Drosophila melanogaster: one gene and its partner. The protein of the gene in region 2 interacts with the protein of the main gene of each other region in a pairwise test. Each region holds a gene or a part of one and is shown on either strand. Other genes may lie near its edges. The genes, in order: Nrx-1 and Ephrin.

Region 1 (5,279 bases), on a different chromosome or scaffold from region 2:
TCGTTCCACACCCCATCCACGCTCACCTTGGCGTCGCGTCCATTCCGCCGAAGAATCAGGTCATGCCAGTCGCCATCGTCCACGCGACGTCGCGAGGCTCGCACCTTGGAGGCTCCGGATCCGAGGTCCAAATGGATGTAGATGTGCCCATTCAGCAGCTCAATGGCAATCAAAACGGGCTGATGGATTCAAATTATGCAAAATGGCTCAAGATAACCTAATGAGTAGACTCACGTTTTTGGCCCGTGGTTGCTTGGATCCTGTGGCCAGGACAATGATGCCATTCGGTTCTTTGGTGCGAAATTTGAAGCTTATAGAACTCTGCTTGCCAGTTTCCCAGGGAGGAAGGACCTTTAAAATAACAATCAAATATTAATTCATTACTTTTCGTATTTTCATACAGGTTTCAACTTACCAAATGCGATTCGCGAGTGGTGAAGGTCACGGGATCCTGTGGATCGCCACTGGGGCACTGATATTCCAGATTGCCAGCAACCTGGATCAGCTTGGAACCGCTCTTGGCCAGGTCTATGAGGTTCAGATTAAGCGTATCCGCTGAGAACTCCACCTTGCGCAGGCAGCCCACGAAGTTAGTGTGCACACGGGCACCCAAAAGCGCTCGAGGATTAACAGCACCACCAACGTAAACCCGCGAGGAGGAGAGCATGGTGAACTTGCCAGCAATGTGGGAGTGATCCGTATAGACATCATCCACCACGGTAACCAGCTACAGGGATAAAAAAAACTCCATTTCGAATAAAGAACCAAGAAAATCTATGAACAGTTACCCACCCGACAGAAGCTGGTTATGGAGGAGATCTCCTGAATGCGACGGTGCACGGTGACTTTGTGCCACTGGTGGTCGTCGAAGCGCACCTTTGAGGGCTTTATGTGCATCTCCTGCTTGCCATTAGCCAGACCCATGGTCAGGGAGACGCCTCCATCACGCAGCGCCAGATTTAGATAGTCCGTGCCGTGGCCAGTGTAGAAAAGCAGACCGTTCGGCTGGCGGGTGCGAAAATAGAAGGATATGGCATCCTGGGCGCTCACTATCGGCTCGGCGCCCGTCTGGCCCAAGTCGTAGGAGAGGAACTGTGTACCGCGGAACGTTGCTTCCGATGGCGCCTTCTCCTTCTCACAATACTGGCCATCGTACTCGAGGTTTCGACACTCGCAAATTGGACCGGAATCAGTGGATATGCAGATGCCGCCGTGCTGGCAAGGATCATTCCGTTCACAGGCATCGGTTGTGTTGCCACCCCGAACACCCTGCAGGATTAAAGGATTATTTACCAAATCAGGGATACATATAAATAGAGGCTTTTTTCTTATTATCAATATCATTTAAATAGAATATAAAAAGTTGTATTGTGTATATCAATGACTAATGGACTCACCCTGAGCGGCCTTTCACGGGCGGGCAGCTCTCCGTGATCGCAGGGCACATCGCCGCACTTGATGTCGCGCTGCTGCTTGATCTCCTGGCGCCTGGTGGAGCCGCCCGGCTGGTCCGCGTAGACCAGATTGCGGATGGCGCCACGGAAACGCGGTTCGAAGATAACGGATGGCAGGGCGAGCAGGGCCAGCTTGCTGCTGTACCAGTTGGGCATACCGCCCACATAGACGTCCGAGTTGCTCGCGAACTTGCCGAACTGGAACTCCTTCCCCTTGGTCGATCGCTGCTGGGAGACGCCGTCCACGATGAGCGATGTCTGCTCATCGTTCCGCAGGACCTGCACCTTGTGCCAGTGGCCGTCGTGCAGTTCCCGACCCACGGTGATGATTTGAGCTCCGCCACCAAGGTTATATCTCAGCCGCAGTGCTCCTTCCACCAGCTTCAGTTCGAAGAAGTCGTAGGTGCCGCCGTCGTCGGTGTAGAGAACCAATCCGTTGGGCTGTTCCGTTTTGAACTCCAGTTCGAGGGTCCCATTCAGTCCGGTGTACCACTTGCGGAAGGTGTAGAAGGAGTTTTGCGATCCATCTAGCTGGAATCCGGCGCTGAGCGTCACGAAACTGGCCGCCAGACTGACCAGCAGGGCGCTGACGATGAGCACGCGGTAGGAGCGACGGTATTCCACGACCACGGGAGGCACTTGCTCGCTTCTCCGCCGGCGGCGAGCCTTGTTGAACCGCAAGTCGGGGGATTCAAAGGCGGAGGTGGAGGTGCGCTGGGCGGGCAGGAGCCTCAGCTCCGCCTGATTTCGATTTCGCTGCTGATCCATGTCCATGCTTGGCCGTGTCCTGGCTGTCATGGCCGCATCAGCATAGTTATCCTGATATGTTGCACTATGTGGCGCCTTCATTCACACGCACGGTGGCACTCGGGCTTACCCACACAGAGGCACCTACGCACGTTGCGCGCGTAAACGTAAAGTGTCCTTCTCCCTCTCTCTCTCTCTCACTCGCTGTGTTTCTGTCGCGTATTCCAGTCCTTGAGCGCGAGCTTTTCGCGTGTCCTTGTGTTGGTGTTACTCGGCAATCCGTTTTATCCGCGCCTGCCAAGAGAGAGCGTAAGAGCGCGCGAGAGCGAAAGCTCGGCCACGCGAAGTTGGCTGCGGATGTTAACGGTACACGTCGACTGTTAACGGCACTGCACCGATTATTGCTTATGATTTCGCCTGATTTTTTTGGTCCTTAATGTTCAGCACCTTCAGTTTTCGGCATTTTGTATACTTGATTTGCATAATTTTTGGCAATTAAATTCAAAACGGCGCATATTTTGCATCGATACTTTGTCAGACAACCGTTTCTCCGACCGAGTCGGCTGTATTAGTAATACTGGGGGTTATGGTTGGGCCAAAAGCTCGCCGGATACCCCTGCCACCGCAGTTTGTGGCGCCCACGAGCGCTCCATCGTACATGTACATACTAAAAATCGGAAAAAATTTTCACTGCATATCGCAAATGTAGGCGAAAATTTTTCTAAGCACCTCACAGCAAGTGCCCCTAAAATGGGCGCTTTACTGCGGTTGATTCCACAGCAATCAGTTATTTATGCGTATTGATTGAACTATTGATTGGATACGAAATTAGTTGCAGAGACTGCACACAGATTTTTCAATTACACAATTATTCCTTTGAATTTGCACGATATTCTTGTCGCTCCTGCTTTATGTAACTTTTCGGGCTGGATTTTAGCGCGACGCGTCCTTTTCGTTTTTGTTGGTTGGTTGAATTTATTTTTGCAGATTTTTCGGTTCAATTTCGAGGGATACAAAAATGTTGTGTGTCGAAATTTGCTTAGCAGCGCCTTCCGCTGCTTTTAGCTCCGATATCGATCCGCGCTGCATCCACGACAAGACTGAACTGCAATTTCAAACTTAATTTCTTCGCACTGTTTCCAATGGATAACGAAAGCTCCGCCAGCTTATTCACAAAAAGCCACTGGTGCGGTCTAGGCGACTCGAAAATGGCACTACAATCGAACTGGACAAAGGAGTTTGTACCTCACACTACTGATTTTACATTTAGACAAGTTAAAATCGTTCAGAATTACTGGAAATCTTGAATTTAATGGTTTATATTGGTACTTTGTTGATTTACCCGAAAAAGTGTGCTACGGAAAAGGAAAGCACCGCACGCTTTGAGTGTAGTGTGTGGGAATGCCAAAAATTAAAAGCTCGCTTACTTCGCACGAGGCATGCATATGTGTACTACTAACACACAAACGCACACATAGACACCAGCTGCCCACTCACACATGCGTAATAAGCGAATAGCACGCAGGTTCATAACCTGCACCACTAAAGCGTATTAGATGCCACATTCACATGGATACACACATATGCATGTTCAGCTGTGTGCGTGGGTGTCCTGTGGCCGCACGCACACTCACACACACCAACTCAAGCTGACACCCCCCCGGGCTCACTATCTCCGAGACGACCCGTGTAAATTCCTTGACATTTACTACGCAACTTCGACATCTCGGAGTCGAATTCGATTTGCATTTGCATTGGCAGTGGAATGTGATGTCCCTTACTCTCGATTGTGGGTGTATGTCCTGCCTCTGTCAAATCCCATCACCCTGCTCCTTCGTCCTAGGAGAGCAATTGCAAGGCCGTCGCCTCCATTAATCGTCGTCGCAGTCCAGGCGAACACATTAATTTGAGCACACGAATCACGCACTGACCATTACAGCAGGGACCAGGATCCTGCTATTAAGCACTTACGGTTTTTAATAATATTTTAACGCACGCTAAAGGCTAAACAAATGCCAGCACGTGCTGTCCATTGTCCTTCGGAGTCGTGACGTTCAAGTGGACTAACAAGGACTAAGATTGGGAATGCCAAAAGCTGGGGGAAGAGCGAAAAGCTTAAAATCAAACTGAGCGGCAGCTCTTGAACTTTCAAGGGCTTTTAAACTACCATTATTTTAAAATCTGTGGAGAGTTCGGCATTGTCAAGTAATATTCTTCAAAATGAATGGAAAAATCTTTTAAATTTCAGGAACATTCTTAAAAATGCAAGTGCATCACCCAATGCCTAAATATCAATATGAAAATATTTTTCAAATTATTAAAAAATTAACGATTCTTTTAAAATTAGTTTTTTGGTATATTTACTTTTGATTTAACGGTATATGGCATCATCGCACCTACAGCCACACTAATTCGATCGTTTACTTACAGCTGTTCTTATCAATCAGCTGTTATCAACGGATCTTTATCAAGTGCACTTTACAAGGCGTCGTGTGTAAAGATTAGAATTTGCCAAATATTCCTCTCTGGACATCTGAAGAGCCCTTGAGAAGCAGCTAAGTTTGTTGCCATACTCCAAAATCCCCGTTAGATCCCGCTTACGTAATGCTGGGCAATCTGTGCCGGCTTGTGGGTGCCCGTTCCCCGATCACCAGGCGCTTGCTGCACACGGAGCGGAAAGTTCGTGTGAATGGCTCAGATTTGAACATTGTGGAGAGCGGCAGTGGGGAGCGGAGTCTACTCCTGATGCCGGGAGCACTGGGTTCCTCGTGGACCGACTTTAGGCCCCAGATCGAGCAGCTGCCGAAACTGCTGCCGGGTCACACCATCATCGCCTGGGATCCGCCGGGTTATGGCAAATCAGTGCCGCCGCAGCGCAAGTTCGGCCTTGAATTCTTTCGGGAGGATGCCCAGGCAGCCGTGGATTTGATGCGTGCCCTGGACAGACCACGCTTCTCCATTTTGGGCTGGAGCGATGGGGGCATCACGGCGCTCATAGTCGCAGGTCGCCATGCGGAAGCTGTGGATCGCCTAGCAATCTGGGGAGCAGGTGCCTACTTGAACGCTGACGAAGTCAAG
Region 2 (4,843 bases):
GTAACATTATCCTAACAAACTTAATGTCCCATTGCAATATGGATGGTATAGATGATATGGATATGTTTATATCGAGAAAGAGAAAACCAGACAAAATGAGTAGGCCATATATGCCCTGATGCGATTACCAAAAAAGTTACTAATCATGATCCTTAGGGATCAATGGGATCGCCTAATCATCGTCTGCTCACTTGCACAACAAATTATGACAATAGTTATTCTATCGAAAATGACTCATGTGCATTACTAATTGCTGGGAAAGTTTATAAAAGCCCAGCGTGTTTATACGCGACATTAGGGATTAATTTATCAATATATTATTGGCCAGCAGTCTTATTATTGGAAAGAAAATTTTATTTGAAATAACAAATCCCCTAAACGAATAATAATAATCCTCATACTACTGACTTAAAAACTGTAATAATTGTAATAAAACATAATACATTTGTAGAGAAAAATAAAAATCTACAATTTTTAACTTCAATAAAATTATAATACCGCTGCTTAAGTATACCACTATATTTGAGTACTTACATACTGTTCGATGTGTTCCAATGCATGTAAAAAGTCTTGGCGCAACTAGACATGGTGGAGAGCAAAACAGTTTCCATACAAATTAAAGTGAGCAACGTAACAAAGGATGTGGCACCAAACTTTGGAAATGGAATCATCATTTTGCATCTCATTGGCGATGGCTGAGGCGAAGATAACAAACAGTTTCTGTTCTTAATCCTCTTTTTACCAACAAAATGCCGTGATGCCTTTGATTCTATCCCTGCTTCCACCAGTACTGATGAATGCTTCTCGGGTGGTTGTCTTTTACTCGGTGAATAAAGCGGCTTGAGATTGTTAAAACCTTGAAACTTGCTTTTGCTCTTAGACTTTCGATGCATAGCTGGTTGCTGTTTATTCGTTGTCGTAAGCGCCTTATGTCGAATTTTTGGGATACTCTCAATACTTCCTGGCACGTACAGCTTAATGCTTAAAGGTTTTCCAGAGTATAGCTGAACTTTATGTTTCTCCTTTTGTTGCTGATGCCGGTGAGATTTGCAATTGGGGAAAGCTACTGGTGGATGTGAGTCTTCAAGCACTTTACTGGTAGTTAAGCGCCTCTTACATGCCAACATGCTCCGACGTTGACAACTGTCATGAATCTGAGACTTTGACTGGGTCCAGGAAACAGTAAGACGCAGTTGCTTTGATCGTTCTTGCATACCGCCAGCAATGTTTTCGATGTTAGATCGTTAGTAGCTTTCTTGCTAAATGCATACAATAAACCTCCGAAATAAGAATATGTTGACTGGCTACATCTACATCTGTGTCATTCCGCACCAAAGTGTCTTGCTCCATCTGCAATCAATAAAATAACAATTTTTACAACAAAACGCTGTAGCCGTGTACGAATTCTGGGCATAAAAAAAAAACACTGAAACTGCAGTGTAACTTGTAACATGATTTTCTCACTTTGGACGGTATAGTTACGAAGCGCACCAACAGACTAAAGACTACTATGCGGTTTGGTTGTTTACTTTACCCTTTAAAAGATTTCTTATAAATGAGTAAATTATATGTAGTGCGTTATAAAGTCAGGTGCAATTTAATTTTTGATGACAATAGTTAAATAATACAACTTTTGTGCATATATATCACTATATAAATATATATGCATATATAGGAACAATCCGAAAAAATTAAATTGAAAAGGCCGTTAAATTATTGTTTCTTTTTCATCTGTGATTTAGGTCTAGTATTCTTTTTAACGTAGACTTAGTTTTCACCTCTTCAAGATTAAATTTTGATACTGAAAATGAAATTGATATAATACCTAGGGTTCTTAGAAAATTTAACCCGACTTTTTTAGAGCGGAATTATACTTTTCAATTTATCTCGTCAAAAAGTTTACTAGGCAGTTAAAAAAGAAACAATACTTTAACGGCATTCTTTTTCGACCCGTATATGTATATGAACTACAAAATAAAAGGATTTCAACCTTCAATTCGAAGGTCGTTTGGCAAACGGAAAGAAAGACAAAAAATATATCGACATGGCTGTGTAAACTGATCAAGAATATGTGTTCTTCTATTGACATTTCCTCCTTTACTTCGTTGACAATCCTGACTGAAATTAGTTTACCCATTGCAAAATCTAACTACATATTATATCTACTCATTCTAAGCTTTGAGATCATTACGCGTTAACATTTTAATGTAACAGTAGCATATTATGCGTATTTATATTTTTATGTAAAGTTTATACAAGTTGATCTTTAAAACAAACAGCCTAAGACTGAGGGATCCTGTTTGCGCCGCGTTCGGCGGCAGTCGGCGAAATAAGCAGCTGTTAATGCTGATCAACAATATTTATATGTTGACTACCGCCACCTGACAGATTACGAGATTTTTAAAAGTACTTCGCTTTAACTTTGGAAACCGCCTAATTGATTTGATTCGACCCTGATTGATCAAAAATACTTATTTAACAGGCCGGCAAACCAATTATCAATTTAAGTGGGATACTACATTTTAATACATGTATGGTACATTTTCTATACAAACAGGGTTGGTAATGGCTTGGCGAAATATTAATATATTTTTTAACATTCATAGTCATAAACAATCAACATGGCATAAGATCAACAATATATAGCGGATCTGCAGTTCTTGACATTCAATTTATAACGGAACAATCAATATATTTCTTAAAAATTGTATGTTTAAGTGATAAAACATCCCAACAGCATTATACAATTACATATGTATGTATACACCAAAAGACATTTCTGTATACATACACAGTGACGACACACTCTCCGAGGAGACAGAAGAAACTCTATATATACACAAACATCTTACTCTCGGGGAAACATTCTTATTCGATACGATTAACAATCCGGTACAAATATGTTGGTATAACATAGTTGACATATAAAAACACAAAATATACATATATGCCCATAACACCGTCTTCCTTTTTTGGTACATCTTTTTCAAAATTACATTTTCACATGATTAAAAATTGTTCCAAACAGGTTTTTGTCTGAAGAGAAATACTCGAAAACAGCTCATTTAAATTAGTTTTTTCTACACTTGGACTACATACAAGAATTATTTATATAAATACTGTAGAGCTAGAGCTATAAAAAAAACTTGTTTAGAGCTGGAACAAAAAACGATGTTTACTTTAACTTTCGATGTATAAAGAAACTTAAGGGCATCGATAATTTTACAAATCAATCGATAGCGATTTTTTTCCAAAGGCCCGTATAATCTTATAATATAAGTCAAATGGTTTGGTTTTTTTTTTTTTTTTTGAATTTAACATATGCGAATTTCTACTATAAGTAATATTCACAGTAAAAACCATACCATATTGATAGGAAACTGTCTTATAAAGATTTTATTTGACATTTGTTGTAGCAGAACCATTATGTAAGTTCCTAGTAAATTTTTTAGCTAGGCTTAAGCACTATTTTATGTTTTAAGAATAATTTTATAATTATTAAAATTTATCTATTACCCGTGTCGAACCTATTTTGATTGGTGTAAGAAGTTTGAAACCCAGTGAAAGAGTTAAGAATTTGAAGTAAATATATATATGGTCAGTATCAAGAGCCGAGTCAGCACTACCGTCTGTCCGATCATCCGTTTTTACGTTACTATCTCTTAGCACCGGTTCTTGACTGCATAAAATTTTTGTTCAAGTTAAAAGAGTTTTCATAATTTTGTTTTCTTAAGTTTAGTCATCGGACGAAAAGTCCAGAAATCAATTGTTAATTAAAGAATTTAAATAGTTTCGTTGTTTTTAGTCATTAAATGTCCACATTCGCTCTGCTGAGATACTGCTAAGATATATAAGTTTAGCCTTGCAGAAGCTATCATTATTATCTCTAGTAATTATATTTTTATAGTGCTCCATTAACGCAAAATTCGCTTCATTGGGATGATGTAAAATTCAGGTCTTCGAAAAATTAATTGCAATTATTGTTTATAACATTATATAAAGATAAATAAAAACTTGGGTAAACGAGCAGGATGACAAAGTGTGTAATATATATAAGGGAATTTATGTGTTTTGCACTTCATTTTCATGAAGCAACAACCTGCGATATATTATTGGTGTAAATAGTATATAAGCTGTACGAGATTCGGTGTTTAAAGTAATTTTCGATATTTTTTGGATAGAATTCCGATTGCGGATAACTATTTGGTTGTATTAGATTCCTGAATTGTTACTAAAGAAACATAAATAGAGGAATTTGACTATCAGGATGGCCAATATAATGAGAAGAACGTTGATTCCTGGACTTTCACACTTGAGGCTGCGGCCACAACTTGTTGCAGCTGGATCGGCCGCGTTAACGTAAATAGTAAATGCTTACATAATTCGAATATATCATTTATATTTGTCCAATTGGAAACTCGTTGTTTAGTTCTCAGGAGACGCGACGGGGAGCAGCCAAGTGGTATCCAGACCCTGAGTTCATGAAGCAGTTTAGCGGCCCGGTGATGTATCCAGACGAGGTCACATCACTTTGGACAGTGCCACCATGGAACAGTTAGTTGGTAACCCAATATTAAACTGACCCTTGAACTAATCGCTTGACTTACCTCCTCTACTAGGCAAAGTAACGCCTGTCGAAAAGTCGGTGCGTAATCTGACCTTGAACTTCGGCCCACAACATCCCGCCGCCCACGGAGTCCTTCGTCTTGTGCTGGAGCTGGATGGAGAGGTTTAAGCTGTTAATCGACCACAGGTCTTGTGTAAATTAAAACCTCTGTTATTGCAGACCGTTATGCGTGCCGATCCGCATATTGGGCTGCTGCACCGTGGGACCGAAAAGCTC

Evidence for each region.
Region 1: the proteins of Ephrin (region 2) and Nrx-1 interact in a two-hybrid assay, tested with the Drosophila melanogaster proteins (one study listed by BioGRID).

The regions. Positions count from the first base shown.
Region 1 is NT_033777.3:22,467,509-22,472,787, reverse strand, and holds the start of Nrx-1 (neurexin 1), read right to left. Parts: upstream 3,311-5,279; 5' UTR 2,304-3,310; coding exon 1,398-2,303; intron 1,270-1,397; coding exon 793-1,269; intron 728-792; coding exon 416-727; intron 352-415; coding exon 235-351; intron 180-234; coding exon 1-179. Other genes in the region: CG5377 (uncharacterized protein), read left to right, coding at 4,806-5,279. UniProt on the Drosophila melanogaster protein: Neuronal cell adhesion protein involved in synapse formation, development of synaptic active zones, synaptic regulation and visual function. Plays a role in cell adhesion between the pre- and the postsynaptic cell.
Region 2 is NC_004353.4:570,120-574,962, reverse strand, and holds the start of Ephrin (ephrin), read right to left. Parts: upstream 3,209-4,843; 5' UTR 2,792-3,208; intron 1,351-2,791; 5' UTR 1,215-1,350; coding exon 535-1,214; intron 1-534. Other genes in the region: ND-49 (NADH dehydrogenase (ubiquinone) 49 kDa subunit), read left to right, coding at 4,268-4,359, 4,430-4,554, 4,620-4,729, 4,787-4,843.